Linked DNA regions of Canis lupus familiaris. The protein of the gene in region 3 purifies or fractionates together with the protein of the main gene of each other region. This does not show direct contact. Links are inferred from orthologs where the notes say so. Each region holds a gene or a part of one and is shown on either strand. Other genes may lie near its edges.

Region 1 (3,681 bases), on a different chromosome or scaffold from region 3:
TTCCTAGGGAGTGGCTTTATTTATTATGCCATGAAATGTTGAATCCATATTATGGACTCTTCCAATATTCTACGGACAACATTTACATGTTGCAAATCAACCCGGATTCTTCAATTAATCCAGTAAGTATTCACGCTTATAAAGAGGGAGTGAATTGGAAAATTTTTGTAAATAGATATTCAGGTTTGGTCTCAGTTTATTCATTGTAGACTTATGCAAAGTCTCTGACAATAGATACTGAAAGGTAGAGTGGGAACTGGATTGAGATGGAGGCTTTCTCTCCTGTGTGTCCCATGCCTGGGATCACTGGGTATTTTGTTTTCAAAGACAGAAGTGAAAATGAGCTGCTCGGAATGCTCAGAGCCCTTTAATCACCAATTGGGGGAACTGAGGTAGTAGGACTGTGTTTGTTGACCGTGTCATTCTGAGACGTGGGCTACATAGTCGGTCCTCCTCCTAATCAAAATGGGAACTTCCCCAACTGGCCTTTTGGGCCACCAGTGCTGATAGTCTTAGCTGCTTGCTTGAGAGGAGGCTGTAAGTGTGGAGTGTTTGCGTGACCAGCCCAGAGTTGGGCAGCAGGTGTTTGGGGGCTGTCCTGTGGGGCAGGGCCCGTGGTCACCGCTACCGCTACCGCTGCCGCTGCCGAGGCCAAGGCCCCTGAGGCAAAGCCTGGGACCAGCTCTACACTACAATCATTCAGGTGTGACAGAGTTCTTTACCAAAATGGAAATGAGGTTTTGATGAATTCTGATTATAATTCCAATGGAAAGCAGAGATGTGTGTTTTCCTGTGAAAAACCAGAGCAGCTCTAGTTTTAGAATGGTCCTCTTACACTTATTTTCCTTTCTGTTCCTTTTTTGCTGTTTCTTCTTCTTTGCATTTTTTTCTCTTCCACTTTCTCTAGGGACTCGGGGAGGGATGGTAGAAGAAGGAGGGGATTTGCCATCTGCTTGCTTTCTCTGTGGTGCAGCAGGGAGACGCGGGGCCAGCTTCCTGGGCACCTTGCTCTTTGGAGGACCTGTGCTTGGTTTCATTCCCTGCAGTTGCTGTGTTGAAATCCTTAACAACTTTGGAGTAAGGGGCCCTGCATTATCCTTTCACACGGAGTGCCGCCAGTGACGTAGCAGTCCTGAGCAGGTGTCTGAATTAAGGGCATGTAACATGTTCAGATGATCCATGCAGAAGACGTGCTCCAAGTTTTGACCACCTAACCTGCTCTCTTTCCTATGTCTGAGAGCACAGCCTGTGAGGGATGGAGTCAGGGCCTGGCTGCAATGAGACAGTTTTCCCAAAAAGCTTGGAGGCAGCACAGGGTCTCTCCACTCTGGCTCTGCCTTTTTCTAATGACTTCGTGTTCTCTGGTGCCCCCTACAGGACCACCTGTCTTATTTCCATTTTGTGGGCCGGATCATGGGTCTCGCTGTGTTCCACGGGCACTACATAAACGGGGGCTTCACGGTTCCCTTCTATAAGCAGCTCCTGGGGAAGCCCATCCAGCTCTCGGATTTGGAGTCGGTGGACCCAGAATTACACAAGAGCTTGGTGTGGATTCTGTAAGTACAGCCTCACCGTTCAGTTCATGGAACATTCGTGCACAGCCACCCATCTTGTGTGCCAGACTATCATTCTGTATGTGTGTGTGCATGTGAATGCTTTTGAGGGGTGGGTGTGAAGTTGGTGCAGAGAAATAAAGAAACACTGATTTACAACCAGAAACATAAAAGAAGATTTAACAAGAAATACTCTGTTGACTGGCTTTTTTCATGATGTTTGGCCAGTTTCACTTCATAGGCTCATTTCTTTTGCTGTTTCCTCACATTTTTCAGGTCTGATCACAATTGGTCCCCAGGCCTGAGAGGTGGGTGGGTGGTTTGCTTTTGACTCTCTAGGGGGGCTCTGGTTAGCAGGTGGAGGGAAAGTATCAAAAACAAAATCAGCATCAAAGTATCTTATGTCAAAGTATTTGCTACAAGAAAAGTATCAAGAGAAATTATATTCAGTCACCTTTTTTTTTTTTTTTTTTTTTTTGTTTATGATAGTCACAGAGAGAGAGAGAGAGAGAGAGGCAGAGACAAAGGCAGAGGGAGAAGCAGGCTCCATGCACCGGGAGCCCGATGTGGGATTCGATCCCGGGTCTCCAGGATCGCGTCCTGGGCCAAAGGCAGGTGCCAAACCGCTGCACCACCCAGGGATCCCCATATTCAGTCACCTTTGTTTCAGAATTATCGTGGGCAGCCTGGGTGGCTCAGTGGTTTAGCATCTGCCTTCAGCCCAGGGCGTGATCCTGGAGACCCGGGATCGAGTCTCATGTCGGGCTCCTTGCATGGAGCCTGCTTCTCCCTCTGCCTCTCTCTCTCTTGGTGTCTCTCATTAATAAATAAATAAAATCTTTAAAAAATAAAAATAATTTTAAAAATTTAAAAGAATTATCCTAACATACCCTTGCAAGCAGTGGGCCCAGTTGCATGGTGAGCAGCGTGTCACAGGTCCTCACACGTGAACTGATCCCACAGCAGCGGGAGATCCAGGCTCTGGCAGAGGGAGAGTCTGGTCTTGCACTCTACCTCACTTCACGTGGCCCTACTGGAAATGGGTAGTCTGTGAGGGGCAGGGAGATATTTCCCTCTGTTTCGAGAAGTGTGGCAGGTGGAGGAGCCCATCGAGACTCTCATGTGCTACTTTGTGTGAGGGGCTGCCTTAAAGGGGCGGGAGGACAGTATCATCTGAGTGTATCTCCCTGCAGGTTGCTTTCTCATTGACTCGGCTCTTCATGCATCCCTCTCTTCTGTTTATAGACTCTGTTTACAAAGCAGTCAGGTCACTGTGTCTTGTAAAATCACAGGATGACAGAGCCACTGTCACCTTCCTGTGAACGAGGGGAGCCAAGTATCAAGGGTGCATCGTGGAACCATGGTCCCCCGGCACCTCCCGCTCCAAGTGTCCCTGGCCTGTCCCAGGCCCTGTGTCTGCCCAAGGCTCCCCACCTGTCCCCACTCAGCTCTGGGGGTAGCAGTCAGTAAATGCCATTGGTCCGTCCATCCATCTCCTGGACTGTTCCAGCTCCTGTTCTGTTCACAGCTGTATTGTGGCCATGGTCTGACATCCGTCTTCTGTCCTAACTTCCACAGAGAGAATGATATCACCCCCGTGCTAGACCACACTTTCTGTGTGGAACACAATGCTTTCGGGAGGATTCTTCAGCATGAACTAAAACCCAATGGCCGAAATGTTCCTGTCACAGAGGAGAACAAGAAAGAATATGTCCGGTAATGTTCCAGGGAACCGTGGTGGCTGCCCATGGGGACGTCCAGATGCCTGGGACCATCCTGGGTTCACATTTAGATTGCCAAAGTTCCTTCGCTGTTTGAGGCTTACCCATCCCGGCCGGCACTTTTGATCAGAATCACAGTCATAGAGCAGTCGGGTTCAGCAGTGGGGCTCTGTGCAGAGGAGCCCCGATCCCACCAGGGCTGACCTGGTGAAGGGAGACTAATGAGCCCAGAACCCAAGTGGTGGAAGGGATTGCAGGTGGCCTTCCGATCTGGGTGTGAAGGTGGTGGGCGCAGGAGAGACTTGGAGCCTATTAGTTTCCTTGAGAGCAGTCTCCAGGAAGTCTGCTTCACTGTGGTCTGTTTTCCTTCCCACCTCTGATGGCAAATAAATGACTAGTCATTTACA
Region 2 (3,206 bases), on a different chromosome or scaffold from region 3:
ATGACTCTCTGCCAGACTGGCACCTGGAGGAAGCAGTAGAATGGAAAGGGATTTAAGATGGAAACAACTTGAGTATTTGTTACGCTAAGAAGTGCAGTAGAGGAGGACTTAGTAAGGATACGCGGTGATGATGGATGGAGCAATATCCTTAAAACGGTAGGAAGAGCTGGACTCATAGCAAACTTCAAGTGAAGCCATTAGTAGTAGAAAGAAGCTTACCTTTTCCTTAGAGATGGGAGGGAAGAAGGCATAGAATTGTTTCATGTTAGAGTAGCTGGGTTAATCTGTGATATACTTGCATTTACTTATCTGTTCGATCAATGTAATAGAGAATAAAAATGTTAATTCTAGTGAGTATTCTTTCTTTATACATAGAAGTTGTCTTATATATAAACCAATTTTAGTAACTTCCATTTGACCCTTTGTGATTTTTAAATTTGATTTAGGCTCTGTCACCAAAGTCTTTTGGTTACCAGCTGAAACATTTATGGTATACTTAATGTGATCTTTGAGAATCATGACCATTTTAACATGCTTTGTTTTTTCAACAGTCCAAAGCAGCATATGTACTTTTCTACCAGAGACAAGACACTTTCAGTGGAACTGGCTTTTTTCCTCTTGACCGAGAAACTAAAGGTGCTTCAGCTGCCACAGGCATCCCATTAGAAAGTGATGAAGATAGCAATGATAATGACAATGATATAGAAAACGAAAACTGTATGCACACTAACTAATGAAAGTCCTAGAAGCCATAAAAGAGAGACTTTCCTGCTGGTGGTATCTGTTGAAATGATGAAGTTACCCACCACATTAAACAAAAGTCTGAGATGGGGAGTTTCAGATAACCGAATGTAAATCCTTTATCAGATTTTAACTTGTGCAGTACTTGAAGTGAAACACAATGAAAACTTTAACAGAAATTGTCTCTTAATACATTTACAGTCTTGTAATTACAAGCTAAATATATATAGGAAATCACAAATAAATCCCTTTTAAGTTTGCTGCTGTTTTGATGAATTATGTTTTCTTTAATTTTTTGGATGTGAGTTAATTGATGACAAATGTTAAATTTGTGGATGTTGGTCATTTATTTTGCTCTAATAATACTGCAAGAAAACTATGGCTGAACTTAGTTTTTGGATAATCTAGTTCATGTGCATTAGGCTGCCACATATATTACTACTATGATATTTAGCTGCGGTATCAATGTGGCATAAATACTGCAGTAGTATTCTTGGAAAACCAAATTTTCAAATCTATCCCTGGTAATCAATATGGGCCTATTAAAGAACCAAATCATGATATAAGAAACAATCTTGGAAAAGTTATTTTCTTTTGTAGTATCATTAAAAATCCAGATTATGTTCATCTTGCTGCTGTGGAAAACAGGTTCTAGATTTCACACTCCATCTAAAATCATTTTTCAGTTAAATGTAAGTATTTTTTACTGCTATTGGGATCTATTCCTTAGATATTCAAAAAAATTTTGACTTGCTTTAAAATGCATATCTTTAATCTGGTGTTGGTCCAAAATTAAAATTTTTGCTGTCTGTTTTTCTCTACCCCATTTTTTGGTAATTTGGCAACTTTTAGCTCTTCCAATTATTATAATATAAGGACAGACTTAATAGTATTCTGTATCCATAGTAATAATTACATCAAGCTTAGATGAGAAATTTTTTTAATATACTGGCCTTTAAATCATTAATGGACAATTGGCTTTAAAGGTAGGTCTGTTAACTTTCTTTGTGTGTTCCTGATGGAATTCACCATAGCCTTACAGCTTTTCTCAGAAGGTAACTTGTTAATTAAGAAAATTGGCATTTGCATGTTCTAGAGTCAGAACCTGTATAGTATATAAAGCATACAAACCTTGAATTTGATTTTAGTTCACCACATTCAAGGATCCAGGATGCCAAAAATATGTGTGAACATTTGAAACATTTTTCATTTGCTGCTTTTTCCCTTTGATCTAGTTGAAAGAATGTATTGTCAATTGGCATACAATACTGCCTTTAATAGAAAATCTAAATGCTGGGGCACATTTCACATATCGACTACCTGAGAAATTGCTTTGTGTCCCACTGTTATTAAAGCAAAAAGTATAATGTTCTTCACTTGAACTAATCAAATACAATAGATTATAAATTGTGTATTGTAAATAAAAGTTCACTCTGTGAGTGCACATTTTGGTAAATTATTTATTTATGTTAGCATTTAAAAGTTAAAAAAAAATGCATTTGACCAGGATAAATGAGGTATGTTGATCATGGCTTTGCTTTATACCTTGATATTAAAGCTGGTTTTTCATCCTGGTATTTTAAAAGCTGCTTTGGGTTTTTGTTTTTTTTTTTTTTCTTTTTTTTCTTTTCTTTTCTTTTCTTTTCTTTTCTTTTCTTTTCTTTCTTTTTTCTTTTCTTTTCTTTCTTTCTTTTTTCTTTCTTTTCTTCTTTTTTTTTTTAATGTAAACTAACCTCCTGCATGACAGAGGTTAAAATTTTGTCTGCACTTGAGTTCACTTGAGTTTACATTTGAAATGTGCATGTTTATTTATACAGATTTCAATAAAGCTATTTAAGGCCTTTTTTAGTCTTTTATTTCTTACTCTGAATCTTTTGATAAAAATCCCCCATTTTATGGGTAGGTGACTATATAATAGACATTTTAGTTAGTGTATAATTAAAAATAGAAAGGAAAGCATGTCAAAGTAAAGCAAATCCTATTAAGGATATGTTTCAAAGTTGATTTTTTAATCTAAATATTCATTAAACATTTGTGCACCTACTAATCACTGTTCTGTAGCTTTAAGATATAGCAGTAAAGAAGCATCCCTCCACTCACAGAGCTTGCAGTCTTTCTGCTGTCTACCAACTAATAGGCTTTCCATTTTTCTGAGGTTTAAAGAAAAACCAAAATTAACTTTTTCCAGCCCTGGATTATAGTCTCCACCTCAGTTGTCCATAGAGACCATTTACTTTTAATGCCTGTGATTAACTTTTATTCCCACTAAAAGAAGTGTTCTAAAATAGAAAATGTTGTTAATAATGTTGAATTTGTCAATGTCAGCTGCAAAAAAAAAAAACAAAAAAAAAACTAAAAAATAGTGTAACAAACTAATCCGTACTCTAATGACAAGTAGATATTCATAGGTAATAAGGGTAGTGTAGCCAGTCTAGCATTCTGTTAGCTTTTCTACTTAGTAGTCA
Region 3 (3,681 bases):
TATCATTTCTTGCACATGAGGTGAAAATGTTAATCAAGTCATCATAGCTCATAGTTAACCGTCATTAAAATAGCCTTTGCTGATCCCCTAGTGATATGTAGTTTCAGAGTGTGGGCCCAGTACCAACTCAGAGAGATGGGTTGTTGATGCTTGTTGATGCAGATGTGGATGAGATAGAGCAAGCTAGAAGCCCTGTTCCACTTCGCTAATTTATTAATGGAACCCTGAACTAGGACTCTCAGCTATTCCTGGACAAAGAATGATCTGGCATTAGCTGAGTAAATTCTTCAAAAACAATTTCTTTTAACCAATATAGGAATTCATGAAGATTACCAGCTGCCTTATTATGATCTTGTACCTTCTGATCCATCAGTTGAAGAAATGAGAAAAGTTGTTTGTGAACAGAAGTTAAGGCCAAATATTCCAAACAGATGGCAGAGTTGTGAAGTGAGTATTGATTTTGGATACTACACAATTTTCTGAACTGCTTCTGCTTGTATGTGGAAATTTGTTATTTTTTTTTTAAGGAAAATAGACACAAGAATTTTTTTTCTTTTTCTTTTTTTTTCATGGCAGTTAAATCAGTGAGTGAAAAACATAATTTGGTTTTCCTGTTCAATCTCAAGTACATCAAAAGGGCCATGGAGCATTTGCAGTGACCATCAGTGTGTCAGAATAGTATTTAAATCTACCAGTAAACCAAGGCACCTGCATTTTCATTTTATCTGTTTTTTACATGGAGCATTCAGTCCATTTACGTTTAATGCACTTATCAGTATAGACGGGTTTAAATTCACCATCTTTTTTCTTTTCTTTTTTTTTTTTAAGTGCACTCCCTAATCCCTATCACCTATTTAACCCATCCCCCCACCCATCTCCCCTTTGGTAACCACCAGTTTGTTCTCTGTAGTTGAGAGTCTATTTCTTGGTTCCTTTCTCTCTCGCATATGCATGCGTTTGTTTGCTTTTTACTTTGCTTGTTTTTTTGTTTCCTAAATTCTACATATGAGTGAGATCACATGGTGTTTGTCTTTCTCTGACTAACTTATTTCATTTAGCATTATACTTTCTAGCTCCATACATGTTTTTGCCGATGGCAAAATTTCATTCTTATGACTGAGTAATATTCTATATATACCACACCTTCTTTATCCAGTCATCTGTTGATGAACACGGGTTGCTTCCTTAGTTTGGCTATTGTAAAATAATGCTGCAGTGAACATAGGGATACATGTTTGCCTTTCAGTATTTTTGTATTTGGGGTGTAAATACCCAGTAGTGCGATTCCTGGATCATAGGATATTTCTCTTAATTTTTTGAAGGAATCTCCATAATATTTTCCACAATGGCTTCACCAATTTGCATTCCCAGGAACAGTGCAAGAGGGTTCTTTTTTTTTCACATGCTTGCCAACACTTGTTGTTTCTTGTGTTTTTGATTTTAGCCATTCTGACAGGTGTGAGGTGATATCTCATTGTAGTTTTGATTTGCATTTCCCTGATGATGAGTGATGGTAAGCATCTTTTTATGTGTTTGTTGGCCATCTGAATGTCTTCTTTGAAGAAATATGTCTTCTGCCCATTTTTTAATTGGATTCTTTGTTTTTTTGGTATTGAATTGTATCAGTTCTTTATATCAGATACATCATTTAAAAATATCTTCTCTAGTCACTGGGGTAGCACAGTTCAGTTAAGCATCAGACTCTTGGTTTTGGCCCAGGTCATTATCTCAGGGTTTTGAGATTGAGCCCCATGTTGAGCTCTGCACTCAGCGCAGTCTGCTTAAGACTCTCCCTCTGCCCTTCCCTCACTGTCTCTCTCTCTCTCTCTCAAATAAATTAATTAATTTAAAAAAATAATTAAAAAAAATCTTCTCCCATTCAGTAGGTTGCTTTTAGTTTTTACTGATCATTTCCTTTGCTGTGCAGAAGCTCTTTATTTTGCTGTAGTCTCAGTTTATTTTTGCTTTTGTTTCCTTTGCCTCAAGATACCTATCTAGAAAAATGTTGCTATAGCCAGTGTCAGAGAAATTACTGCCTGTGCTCTCTTCAAGGATTTTTATAGTTTTAGGTCTCACATTTAGGTCTTTATTCCATTTTGAGTTTATTTTTGTGTGTGGTGTTAGGAAACGATCCAGTTTCATTCTTCTGCTTGTTAACTGTCCAGTTTTTGCAACACCGTTTGTTGAAGAGACTTTTTCCCATTGTATATTCATTCCTCCTTTGCCAAAGATTAATTGACCATATGATCGTGGGTTCATTTATGTTTTCTGTTCTATTCTATTGATCTGTGTGTCTGTTTTTATGCCAGTATCATACTGTTTAATTACTACCACTTTATAATATAACTTGAAGTCCAGAGTTGTGATACCTTCAGTTTTGTTTTGTTTTTTACCAAGACTGCTTTGACTCTGAGGTCTTTTGTGGTTCCATACAAATTTCAGGATTGTCTTAGTTCTCTGAAAATGCTGTTGGTATTTTGATAGGGATTGCATTAATTATATAGATTGCTTTGGGTAGTTCTAGACATTTAAAAAATATTAGTTCTTCCAACCCATGAGCATAGAATGTTTTTCCATTTCTTTGTATCGTCTTGAGCTTCTTTCATCAGTGTTTTATAGTTTCCAGAGTACAGGTCTTTTACCTCTTTGGTTATGTCTATTTCTAGATATTTCATTGTACTTGGCATAATTGTAAATGGGTTTGTTTCCTTAATTTCACTTTTGCTGCTTCATTATTAGTGTATAGAAATGCAACAGATTTCTCTACATTGATTTTGTATCCTGCCACTTTACTGAATTCATTTATCAGTTCCAGTAGTTTTTTTGGTAGAGTCTTTGGGGCTTTCATATGTAGTATCATGTCTTTTGGAAAGAGAAGTCACCTGCATTTTAAACGAATGCATCGGGACGCCTGTGTGGCTCAGCAGTTTAGCGCCCGCCTTTGGCCCAAGGCGTGATCCTGGAGTCCCGGGATCGAGTCCCACATCGGGCTCCCTGCAAGGGGCCTGCTTCCCCCCTCTGACTGTGTCTCTGCTCCTGCCTCTTTCTCTGTCTCTCATGAATAAATGAATAAAATATTACAAAAATAAATAAATAAACAAATGCATCCTTTTGATCAGGGCAGCCCAGAACAGTAGAATGGGTGCTGGATGGAAATTAAGAAGCCTGTATTTTAGACCAACCTGGCCACCATTTCTGAGTCTGACTTTGGGCAAATCATTTCAGTTCTCCAGATCCTAACATGCCTTTTAAAAGGAGGAAGCTAGATAAGGTGATTGGGAGGATGGGTCTGATGATTTAACATCTTATTCATCCAGTTGCCTGTGTGACCAGGAATGTGGGTAAAATGCTTTCCAGCAGTGTCTGAGATTCTCAATTCCAGGTCTTACAAAAATTTTAGAAATGCTTTTGTACTTGGAAATTTAAAGAATTCATAAGACAGATCTTATTTAATCTATACTTAATTGCTAGTTGTCACTATTATAATATTGGCAAGAGCGAGCATTTTCCTCCAGATGTGAAATTTTATAACTTAAAAGGAATAAAAAGATGGCGACCTAAGTAGTTGGTTTTACATCTCAAAAGAACATGGGACTTAATAGTCAGGACATCAAGAGTGCTCCTTGGCTACCTCCAACAAAGTCAAGTGTCCAGGCCCAGATAAAATACATCTCAATGTGC

The links. Proteins that work in one complex are often made in the same cells at the same time.
Region 1: the proteins of TGFBR1 (region 3) and SMURF1 purify together in Homo sapiens (affinity purification with western blotting; 3 studies listed by BioGRID). This does not show direct contact. The link is inferred for Canis lupus familiaris from reciprocal best matches to the Homo sapiens genes TGFBR1 and SMURF1.
Region 2: the proteins of TGFBR1 (region 3) and USP15 purify together in Homo sapiens (affinity purification with western blotting; 4 studies listed by BioGRID). This does not show direct contact. The link is inferred for Canis lupus familiaris from reciprocal best matches to the Homo sapiens genes TGFBR1 and USP15.

The regions. Positions count from the first base shown.
Region 1 is NC_049227.1:10,567,833-10,571,513, forward strand, and holds part of SMURF1 (E3 ubiquitin-protein ligase SMURF1), read left to right. Parts: intron 1-7; coding exon 8-122; intron 123-1,377; coding exon 1,378-1,556; intron 1,557-3,131; coding exon 3,132-3,269; intron 3,270-3,681. UniProt on the Homo sapiens protein: E3 ubiquitin-protein ligase that acts as a negative regulator of BMP signaling pathway. Mediates ubiquitination and degradation of SMAD1 and SMAD5, 2 receptor-regulated SMADs specific for the BMP pathway.
Region 2 is NC_049231.1:5,996,388-5,999,593, forward strand, and holds the end of USP15 (ubiquitin carboxyl-terminal hydrolase 15), read left to right. Parts: intron 1-551; coding exon 552-734; 3' UTR 735-2,585; downstream 2,586-3,206. UniProt on the Homo sapiens protein: Hydrolase that removes conjugated ubiquitin from target proteins and regulates various pathways such as the TGF-beta receptor signaling, NF-kappa-B and RNF41/NRDP1-PRKN pathways.
Region 3 is NC_049232.1:56,548,376-56,552,056, forward strand, and holds part of TGFBR1 (TGF-beta receptor type-1), read left to right. Parts: intron 1-316; coding exon 317-447; intron 448-3,681. UniProt on the Homo sapiens protein: Transmembrane serine/threonine kinase forming with the TGF-beta type II serine/threonine kinase receptor, TGFBR2, the non-promiscuous receptor for the TGF-beta cytokines TGFB1, TGFB2 and TGFB3.